Nothobranchius furzeri: one gene and its partners. The protein of the gene in region 3 interacts with the protein of the main gene of each other region in a biochemical or structural test. Links are inferred from orthologs where the notes say so. Each region holds a gene or a part of one and is shown on either strand. Other genes may lie near its edges.

What was found.
Region 1: of the proteins of cullin-5 (region 3) and ube2f, one has a biochemical effect on the other in vitro, tested with the Homo sapiens proteins (2 studies listed by BioGRID). The link is inferred for Nothobranchius furzeri from reciprocal best matches to the Homo sapiens genes CUL5 and UBE2F.
Region 2: the proteins of cullin-5 (region 3) and rbx1 form a complex in vitro, tested with the Homo sapiens proteins (4 studies listed by BioGRID and IntAct, with this or other methods). The link is inferred for Nothobranchius furzeri from reciprocal best matches to the Homo sapiens genes CUL5 and RBX1.

Annotation. Positions count from the first base shown.
Region 1 is NC_091754.1:2,840,585-2,844,525, forward strand, and holds the start of ube2f (NEDD8-conjugating enzyme UBE2F), read left to right. Parts: upstream 1-1,141; 5' UTR 1,142-1,353; intron 1,354-3,460; exon of another isoform or gene 3,461-3,483; 5' UTR 3,484-3,540; coding exon 3,541-3,655; intron 3,656-3,941. UniProt on the Homo sapiens protein: Accepts the ubiquitin-like protein NEDD8 from the UBA3-NAE1 E1 complex and catalyzes its covalent attachment to other proteins. Together with the E3 ubiquitin ligase RNF7/RBX2, specifically neddylates cullin-5 (CUL5).
Region 2 is NC_091752.1:65,786,479-65,789,929, forward strand, and holds rbx1 (E3 ubiquitin-protein ligase RBX1), read right to left. Parts: upstream 2,013-3,451; 5' UTR 1,955-2,012; coding exon 1,877-1,954; intron 1,196-1,876; coding exon 1,117-1,195; intron 1,041-1,116; coding exon 970-1,040; intron 817-969; coding exon 731-816; intron 647-730; coding exon 634-646; 3' UTR 501-633; downstream 1-500. UniProt on the Homo sapiens protein: E3 ubiquitin ligase component of multiple cullin-RING-based E3 ubiquitin-protein ligase (CRLs) complexes which mediate the ubiquitination and subsequent proteasomal degradation of target proteins, including proteins involved in cell cycle progression, signal transduction, transcription and transcription-coupled nucleotide excision repair.
Region 3 is NC_091750.1:28,008,917-28,012,416, reverse strand, and holds part of cullin-5, read left to right. Parts: intron 1-1,260; coding exon 1,261-1,360; intron 1,361-3,500. UniProt on the Homo sapiens protein: Core component of multiple cullin-5-RING E3 ubiquitin-protein ligase complexes (ECS complexes, also named CRL5 complexes), which mediate the ubiquitination and subsequent proteasomal degradation of target proteins.

The DNA of each region.
Region 1 (3,941 bases), on a different chromosome or scaffold from region 3:
GAGGTTGTGGATTGCTTTGAAGGTATGGAGGAGAATTTTGAAGATGGACCTGAATTTAACTGGGAGCCAGTGAAGCTGCTGGAGAACCGGCGTGATGTGGTGAAAGGAAGGGGTTCTGGTGATAATACGGGCTGCTGAATTCTGGACCAGTTGAAGTTTATGAAGGAGTTTGTTGGGAAGACCATAAAGAAGTGAATTGCAATAGTCGATACGGGAGGTGACGAGGCTGTGGACGAGAATGGCGGCAGTGTGAGGGGTCAGTGAGGGACGGAGACGGTTTATGGAACGTAGATGGAAGTATGCTGACCGAATTATGTTATTAATGTGAGCCTGAAAAGAAAGTGAGCTGTCGAGAATGACACCCAGACTCTTGACGTGAGGTGAGGGGGAGACTGTGGCGCTGTCAATAGTTAAAGAAAAGCTGTCAGATGTTGAGGGGGTGGAGTTAGTGCCAACAAGAAGAAGTTCAGTTTTATTGCCGTTGAGTTTGAGGAAATTAGAGGTGAACCATGATTTGATTTCAGAGAGGCAGAGTGTAAGGGAGGATGGAGGGAGAGTTGAGTTGGGCTTACTGGAAATGTAGAGCTGGGTGTCATCTGCAAAGCAGTGAAACTGGATATTGAATTTGCGGAAGATTTTGCCGATAGGGAGGAGATATACTATGAAGAGGAGGGGCCCCAGGACAGAGCCCTGGGGCACACCTGACTTGACTGGGGAGGGTTCTGAGGTAAAGGATTTTAACTGGATGAACTGGCAGAGTCCAACTCTCACTGGGTCAATAATCACAATGAAATATTAAATCTTTACAGGTTCATAATTATTTGTAAAGGTGGACATTTTCCTCCAACCACATCATTACAAATACTACTACTACTACTACTACTACTACTACTACTACTACTACTACTACTACTAACAATAACAATTATTATTATCTTCATCATCATTATAAAAATAATAATAAAATAAAAATTATTATTATTATTATAAGTAGTATTAGTAATAGTAACAATAACAATAATACTAATGATAATTATAATATTAACGGTTATTAAAATGTTTATAACCGTCCACCAAGCAGCGCGGAACTATTTATCATTACCGTGTGTCCACACGGAAGCAAATAACAGGGCACTGCTCCATTGCGCTTCCGTTTGCCACCGGAGCGAAGTTTCTGTCAGCTGATTCCCAAATCAGTTCCCAGTCTGTTGTAGAATCGGTAATAACTAGTTTTGGATCCTTTGAGAGGAGGACGCGTCTGCTACCCGCCAGGTGTGGTGCTGCTGGCGGCAGCTTGAGCTCGCAGAGCCGCTGATTATGGTTTAGCACGAAGAGCTAGCTGGGAGACAGAAGGTAACACACAAAGAACACACAAGCGGCTCCTGGTGTGAAAAGTTCAGCCGTCAGAAAGGAGCCGTGTCATTTGTGCTTGTGAGCAGAAACCTGGTGTTGAGCGATCTGTCTGGAAACGTCTACGTAGCTTTTATTAGCAACATTAGCGAGGTGTTGTTATGGTAACCCGACCAAAGAGGAGGAGGAAGAAGGTGAAATCTTAAGTTGTCGCTCTAAATCAGCTGGTTTCAGCGCCTTTAAGAAGACTTGGGTTGTTTGTTAGGATTCCTCTGTTGTCACGTTGACTGGATTCGTGTGTGAAAGGCAGGCCACCTAGATGAGACGAAATGAGGGAAGTGAGCATTAATTTGTGATTAATAGGCTAGACTCACTGTTAAAGCTGTAGCAGGTCAGACGTCTGACCACAAACAGGCCTGAAAAATAAGGACAAAACAAATGGCATGCACTATTTTTAGCTTTATGATCAGTTTTTATGGAAATAAATTAGTATACTAATGATCAAGCATCCAGAGCAAAATAGACAGAGAAGTTCACCTTATACTTTAGAAAATTAGTCTTCAGACTTTTTCTTTGACAAAACAATTTATTTTCATAAATAATGAGTACTCCCCGCTGATGTTATGCTCAGACTCAAGCTCTAAATTGAGTGTGTGTGTATATATATGTATTTATTTATTGAAGCATAAAACTAGAACTGCATGACACTTCGTTGAATGTTAAGACTCTTTTAGGTATTATCTGATTAGGGCTGCCTGTCTTTCTTTTCCCTTTGATTGACCTCTGGGCGACAATATCTTGAGACCATTTATAACGAGGTCTGTGATTGATAGGTTAACAAACAGATGCATCTTTCTTACTTCATCACTTTTATTAAACGTACAGGTGAAAGTGGCTTGAAATGATACAAAGAAAAGATTGTTGGGTAGGTTTAAGGGAAAGCCTAAAGAGTCTTTCAGGTTTTCTAAAAACAAAACATCTATTGTACAAGACCTTGTTAAAAGTTTGGTGTACAAGCACTACCGTAGTGCGGCGATTAAAGTGTTGTTGCGTTTGTTTTGCCGCTGACTTTGTGAGCTCTGCTGTGATGATGTTGCCGTACAGACATATGAGGTGACTGACAGCTGGGGCAGGTGTGTGTCGAGTCGGGCTCGGCGACACACGACACCATCACTCCCCCTCTGAGTGAGCTCACCCAGTGCACAAACTGGGTTTTACAGAGTGGAGACGTTACAGGAAACCTCTTTTTACCTGGGTTTGTTGCACTAATACAGGTGGAGTCAGGACATCAGTTATAATATAAAGATTATAAATGATATTTGGGCCTAAAGCAAACTTGGCTCCAACTTTTCTTGCTTTGGCTCAAATTGTCCCAAACATTTTAGTTTTGTTTTCCACTCATCTGAAAGCACAAATGGACCCATTTGTTTGTTTACATCCAGAGACTAGCCGTGACCTTTCCTGATGAGGCTCAGGGGGCTTGACTTTGCTATGGCATCATAAGTGAAACATAAAGTTCATCTTTGTTTGCTGAAGTCATCATGTTGTGGTGTCAGAAACCCTGTCTGACTTCAACAGGATTACAGTTCGGTTTAAAACGTCACAGCAGCGTGTCGCTGAGTCACACCCAAGGACTGTTTTGGTGGTTTGGACTAAAAAGTTGAAAACCAGCTGGTAACACTTTAGAGACTCAGAGAGAAAAATGTCCAAAATAATCACTGCATTGTTTTTCCTTCTGAAGTGTTTTCAGTTTTTCTTGTTTAAACATCAAATAGAAAACATGACACCGTTGAACAGGAAACGTCTGATTCTGCATTAGACCGAGCCGCTCCACCTGTTTAGTGTAATCTGAGTTTATGCATTTATTCCCACTCCAGGTGCTCTTTGATGCTGGTGACCAACACGATGAGTCACAGACACAATCACTCCTCTTGGTGGAAACTTTCAGCAGATTAGTTTCAAAGCGAAGCGGCTCTTATTCAGCGTTTTCTCACACCTCTGTTCCCTCCCGGCCGGCTCTGAGCGGAACATTCAAACCAACTTTCTCACATACAAACAGACACTTTGTTGTTTCTCTGTTTGTTTGTTTATCTATTCTGATAAAATGAAGATGTGGATCTGTGTCACTGGCAGACGTTGGACAGGCGGTGAGGCTCGGGGCAGAGAGAGGCGTGTCTCAGCAGCGTAGCCATGCTTACATTGGCTAGCAAGTTGAAGAAGGAGGATGGAGGGAAAGCAAGCCGTGCCTCTGGAGCCTCAGACTCCACCCACAGGGTCTCCATCAGGGACCGCCTCCTGACCAAAGGTACCAGTATCTCCTTATCGTCTCGTTCCACTCTGAAGGATTTGTAGGCGTGGAACACTGAACCATTACTAATGATTGTCTCTGATTCTAATAGTAATGAGTTTTTCATGCAGGCTGAACATGAAAATAGTCTCCTACACCTACCTCCTGCATTAGCTTCTGATAGAAAACAGATGGTGAAACTCTAGAAAATCCTGACAGATTTACGTCACACTGTCACTAACATTCATGGACTCACCCATCTGGACTCACGACGGGGAAGGCTGTTGTTGGTTTAGTCCAGGAA
Region 2 (3,451 bases), on a different chromosome or scaffold from region 3:
ATTAAGATATGAACGTTTCTACAGCCATTTAATACGTGGTTTAACCTCTGTCTGTCTCTGAACACAGCCGAACTCTCACGAGCGTTGGCATGTTTTGTTATTAATCTGTTATAAATGCAAATAAAAGGATGTCTGTCTCACCCTGTTGGAAAAATATTCACAATAAAACTATTTAAAAACATTTTGTTCCATTTTATTGGTTTTTAAATTAATCTGATTATTAAATAAACTAAATTAAATAAGCATGTGAGTTATTTCATTATTCAGGCGGTATGTGTAGTCCAGACGTTTAATCCAGCTGTGCTGCTTGTTTTGTAGCTTGAGGATTACAGCCGTGTCAGATCTCATGTCATTCCACGTGGCTGTAGATGCTCGTGACTTTCGTCCCAACACAATGTACCTCATGAACTAAACTATGAAGGTGCATGGTTGAGCATATCATGTGCACTTAATCTAGTTTTACGACTTCAATTCAAATGTGATTACATCCTCCTGAAGACTGATGGTTTTACAGTTTATTGAATTACAACATAGCAAAACATGTAAAATAACATCTAGGTATATGAGCAGGAAGCAAAATGGAAAGTGAAAGGTTGATGCTCGCAGAAGCCAAGGAACAGGTCAATATCACAACTAGTGTCCGTATCTGCGAAAGAAAAAACGAAAATGTGTTTGAGTCAAGCATCAAACAATCCTCAAAATCATATATGCATTAATGGATCCGACTCACTTCTGAAACTCCCACTCCCTGTTGTCCAGGGGACACACCTGTCTGGTCTTCAGCCAACGGGAGATACAGTGGAAATGGAAGGCATGCTATGGAAGGTAAGGAAATGTTTAAACGACTGGATAGCAGTTTAACAAAGATGCAAAGACTGAAAAATAAGTGATCTGCACTTGTAGAGTGCCTTTCAGAGTCAAATGACCCATATCTATCATCCTACTGAAAGTTGCACCTTAGAAACTCACATTGCAGACACCCCAGGCCACAGTGCACTCTTCTGAGGTTGCAGAAGCTTGGTTGGCCTGGCACTCTATGCCTGATGAAGGATGAGGAATTGTGTAAGAGGGCTGCCAACAACTCACATGCAATCAAACACCCCTATGTGAACTTACACAGATCCATGATGTGGTTCCTACAGATAGCACAATTATCCACCACTATGTCCCAGGCCCACAGTGCAACAGCATTCCACTGGAACAAAAATCACATTCTGTTCATAGGAAGGTAACTTAAAATGAAGGACCTCATACCTGGAAATAAAAACCTTAATTCTATGGCTCATTGTAGGGTCTCTGACATTCAGTACTAATTCAAAGTTATCTTACAAATAAAGTTTTTCAACCTTTGATTAAAAAATGCTTCCATGGACACCTCAATCTAGAAAAGGAGTTAATTAAAATCTGATTAATAAAATCCTTCTCTATCAGTACCGTTACTTTTAAATTATGTAATGAATAGGAGAAAAAAAACCTTGTCATCAAAACTACTTAACATTTTATCCTGAGGAAATGTGACAGTCATTTAAATACTTTAAATCTTGGGAAATTTCGAGATGTACAGCTTAGCTGACTAAGCTAATTTAGCATGTAGACTAAGAGATTAAAGAGGTATTTGTCCATTTTTAAATCGTGCTGTTATTGTGTAACTACTGAGAGTTTATCATCGCTCTTATTTCTCTACAAGTTCTAGTTTAGACTTTAAGGCCATAAACAGAATAATGATTAATTATTTCTTGTAGCAGGCTAACAGCTAAACACCGATAACGGTGTTTAGCAAGCTAGCGTTAGCTAATGTTGGGCTAAACCTTTCGGCGTTGCTGACAAAGTGCACCGTTTAGTTTAGTCAACACAGACAAACTTTCAACTATCGTACCTTTTTCACTTCAAAGCGCTTCTTGCTTGCTCCACTATTTGTACCGCTTGGCGTGTCAACATCCATTGCTGCTGCCATTTTGAACTCTCCGGAAGCGTTTATCTAAGTTTTACCGGAAAATAGCGTCACTTCCTGTTCGACCAGATTAAGCAAATTTTCGAAAGAAAATATTATTTTCTTAATAATTTTTGAAAAAACAAAATCAGGTTGTATTTCTGAATTGTTACCGTTGACACTCTTAATATTTGAAGAAGTATTGGTTAAAAGGTCAGGTTCCACCGAGATTTGAACTCGGATCGCTGGATTCAGAGTCCAGAGTGCTAACCATTACACCATGGAACCCCTGCTTATTAACATTTCTCTGTAAAGAATTTGTTAAATCAATAGCACATGTATTGCTTTTATTCATTGCTTTTACACACCCTTAATTTCTCATGCAAAAAAAAAAAAAAAAAACTTCTCATGCTGTATAGAAAGGTGTATCTATCTGAGCTACACACTGCGTCATACTCATCACACTACTGTGTACCACACACTCCCCTAGCTACAACGCTGCAAATGAGCGAGAATGGGGAGTTGACGCCCTCCAGTGGCAAAAGACCAACATAGCAGACATAACCTGTAACATAATAGAAATGCGGTTCTTTATACTGGTTGTTCTTTGTATATAATAAACTTTTAATTCAATTACTTGCAATCTGTCGTTTTATTTGATTGACCTAAATAATGCAAATAAATATATCCATCAGAGTATTAAAACACCTGCGTACTCAATCCTTTAATTTGCGCTCTCTGCTGGAGAAATCGGGTTGCTGCAGGTACTACATTCATACAACTTAAAAATTACGATTTTTAAATTGGCGTTAAAAACACAGTTAGTATAAAATCGGAAAATACACAATAAAACAATTTAACTAATGAAACTTGATAAATGTATTTCAGTTATTCGTGTTAAACAAGATTAAATCAATAGGCTAAAGAAGCTAGCTATCAGCCCCACAAACATTCGATTATACGCCCACTGGCGGCCACAGGGCAAAACTACATCTACGAGAGGACTTCATTTGCTTCCCATTTGGAAGCATGGGCATGGCTGGCTTCGCTAAGATTTAGAGGGATTTTTATTCATTTTAAAAATGTAATTCTTAATAGGTGATATGAGATACATATATTTAGGTACTAATATTTTTATCAGCATGAGTTTGTCAAATCAAACCCGTCTGATGTAAAACTATTAGTTCAAGACCAATAAACACCCAACTACATCTAATAAACACACACAGGGACATTCGTGTAGAAATTATTCGTTATAAGGTACAAATTTTTCAAACATGAGAACTCAATCTTTTAGCATTATTATATTTTCCCTGGCTGTCGTGAGTATTTTTCGCCCTCTAGCGGCCGAAAACTGTTACTACAGGTAGCGTTCATAAAGCTAAACAAAGCATTACACTTCCTGTAGATTCCTTCAAAACAAAACATACCATTTAAAATTATTAAGGGTTTTAAAGTGGAATTAACGGCAAAGTTAGTATAAATAACAGGAAAACTGATAGAATTATTATTCATGTTTTC
Region 3 (3,500 bases):
CTCAATTATTCCTGCTGGGGCGCGTGCTTTACATGTGCCGCCTGTTCTGTGTAATGCCTTACCTGCTGCGATCCACCAGTCAACATCTATTGCGGCCTTCTAGTCACGACTAAAAACACACTTTTGTGACCTGGCTTTTGCATCTTGACTTCCATCCATTGTCTGAACCCGCTTGTCCACGTAGGGTCATGGAGAGGCTGGTGCATATCTCCAGCGGTCAATAGGCAGTCAGGCGGGGTACACCCTGGACAGAGAGCCAGTCCATCGCAGGGCAACACAGAGACACACAGGACGAACAATCACACACTCACACCTAAGGACAATTTAGACAGACCAATTAACCTAACAGTCATGTTTTTGGACCGTGGGAGGAAGCCGGAGAACCCGGAGAGAACCCACGCATGCACAGGGAGAACATGCTTACTCCATGCAGAAGACCCCAGGCCGGGAAGCGAACCCAGGACCTTCTTGCATCTTGACTTGTTTCTTGTTAAATTTCTGCAGGGTATCTGCAGGTCCTTAAAAAGTCGTAAAAAGTCTTAAATTTGCTTTTCCAAAATTAAGGCCTTGAAAATCCTTAAAAATGATAAATAATCCTTAAATACAGTTTCCAAAGGTCTTAAATTACCAAAGACCCAATAAACAAGATTCTTTTATTTCTATAACATTTTCATGAATTTCGAGTGTTCAGCATTTTTTGTGTATGATGGTTGGCGTATGCGGAACCGTACACATTCAGTTGGTTGTGAAAGGGGGCTATTTTTAGATGAGCACATTAGCTGGTTAAGCTAGTGGGAGCTTGCGCCATGGGAAAGTGCAAGTTTAATGGTAACTGGATGGCTAATCCCACATTCGCGACGTGGTTAGCACCGGTTCCCGGCAATAGCTGGAAATTAAATATTAAATTTAATTTAAAAAAATTGCTTAAATTTGGTCAAAGTGGCCTTAAAAAAGGTCTTAAAAAGTCTTAAATTTGGCTCCCTTAAACCTGCAGATACCCTGTATCACTTTGTTATATTTATTTGTATTTTTATTAGGTTTTATTCATTTTTTTAGAATAGCCATTTTGGCAGTTTTACTTGTTTTATCGTGTGCTTTGTTTATGATATGATGGATGTCTTAGTACTTGTGTCTGTACTATATGTAAGGCGCTTTGGTCGGCTCATGCTGTATTGAAACGCGCTTGACAACAAAAGTGGTATGGTGTGGTTTTGTTTCCCAGCTGAAAGGATTCATCATCGTCTTGTGTTGCTTCTACAGAGACGTCCACGCTGTTTGTCTGTGGGATGACAAGGGTCCAGCTAAGATCCATCAGGCTCTTAAAGAGGACATTTTAGACTTCATCAAACAAGCTCAAGCAGTAAGATGGCTTCTTTTTGTCCTTTTAAGTTCAACTCTGTCCTCCATACTGAAGAGTTCTGCTCATTTCAGACCTGAAAGAAGAAATCTGTGATTAAACTCTAGCTTTGGAATCTGGATGGATCTCATTTTTAATTATCGAGTCTTTTAAAGAGCAAGTCACCTCCAGACTAGGGTTGTCACGGTGTGAAAATGTAACCTCACGGTTATTGTGACCAAAATGATCCGGGTTTTTGGTATTATCGCGGTATTTTTCAAACGGTGTTGCATATGTTCAGAAAGCATTGATAGTCCTGTTCTACACAAACTGAAATAGTTTAACAGTGTTTATTAAACCTAAAATAACACAAAGCCTTAGCAAAAGTGCAACTTTTCACAAGTAAAGGAACAAATAGCTTCTTTTTCTGGAACATGTTACAGTAGTCAGTAGGGCTGCAACAACGAATCGATAAATTCGATGAAAATCGATTACTAAAAGCGTTGGCAACGAATTGCGTCATCGATTCGTTGTGTCGCACAACTCTTCCAAAAGCGCCCCCCCCCCCTCCCGCCCGCCGTTGCGCGCAGACCAGAGCAAGTCAGATCAGCGCGAGGGAGAGCCGGCAGACTTGCGCTGCTGCGAACCGGTTCCGCATTGTTGCACAGCGATCCAGGCAGCTGCTTCCAGCGCACGGTCCATTCTCAAAGTGGCGCAACCAAAAAACTATAATTAGCACACGATCGTTCATGTCCGCTCATGTTCTCTACTTTCTGTCTTATTTGTGCCTGAAGCTCGCTACTGCGGAGCTCATCACCTGTGCTGTGGTGATGTCACCTCACGCAGCATCGAAAACGCGCTCTCCGCTTTTCAGTCAGGAGATCCCTTTGATCTGCTCAAAAGTAACTGATGAGGTGAAAAGGTAAGAATCCAGGCAACAGATTTTCTGGAGAGTTTAGAGGAGATGCAGGAAGATGAGAGACAGACAGGACAGGAAAATAGTTCAATAAAAACAAGAAAACAAAACAAAGTGTTGAAAAGTAAAATGTAGGTAGATTTATCTCCACTACACGTTTTTACCAGTAAAAAACAACAAGTTATACACATGTAGTATTTATACATCTGATACAATTCAGATCACCTTCAAAACTCAGTCACACACCCAGGGCCGTTTCAAGACATTTTGGGGGCCAAGGCAAAATGCCCCCCCCCCCCCCCCCCCCCCCAATAACTGGGCTCCCCAGAAGCCTCTGTGTAATTCATGCCCTCTCCAGTAGTGTTAGTTATATGGTGTTTATAAAAGCCCCTCAGACATTACTGACATGTTCTAATATTATCAGATGAAAAACTAAATTATCAGACATGCTATCTCATCTGCTGCTTTTCTAAACCTGCTAAAAGTAACAAAACCATTTGAAAGCCACTATTTGTGGATTCTCTGAAAGTTTCCATGGAGTGTGGGACAACTTATTTATTCATTGATCCTATCGTCTAATCTCACAGCTGAAACAAGCATCCTTAATAATCTGTGCACAGGAAGCTTACCGATGCTGTAGTAAAACAAAAGGTATAATAATTTATTATTAATAAAACCTTGTTGCAGCACTAAAGCAGAAAAATTAGATTTTGCATTAAATATGCAAAATATTTACATATGAATTGTTTTAGAGCCCTTTAATTGGCAGAATCTGATATTAATTTAGTTCTTACAAAAAATGGGTCCCAACATGGTTTGTGTGGCGTTGCCATAGTGTGACGTCATAGGCACAGATCCCCTGTCCTCTTGTTTGGAAATGGAAATATGGTCACCCTACATTAAACAAACTGTCCACCCGGGCTTTTGCGCTGCACAGAGACGCTTCGCTGCCTATGACTGAACGTCAGTTGAGAGTCAGTCTCATGCAGACTAACCAATGAAGAGAGGGCCTCAAGTTAAGACCCTCTCCTCATTGGTCAGTCCACACGAGGTGGGTCAAAGGTTACTCTGGGCGGGTTACGTGATGTCAGGCATTCAAGTATTGAGTATATTTACTGCATATTACAGTAAAATATTCTGTATGTGACCACATTATGGTGATCCTTGAGTCGTGATGATGGAGCCCTTGAATATTGTTGCCCAGGGTACAACAAAGTGTTAATCTGGCCCTGGTTCCGCCGTCACATT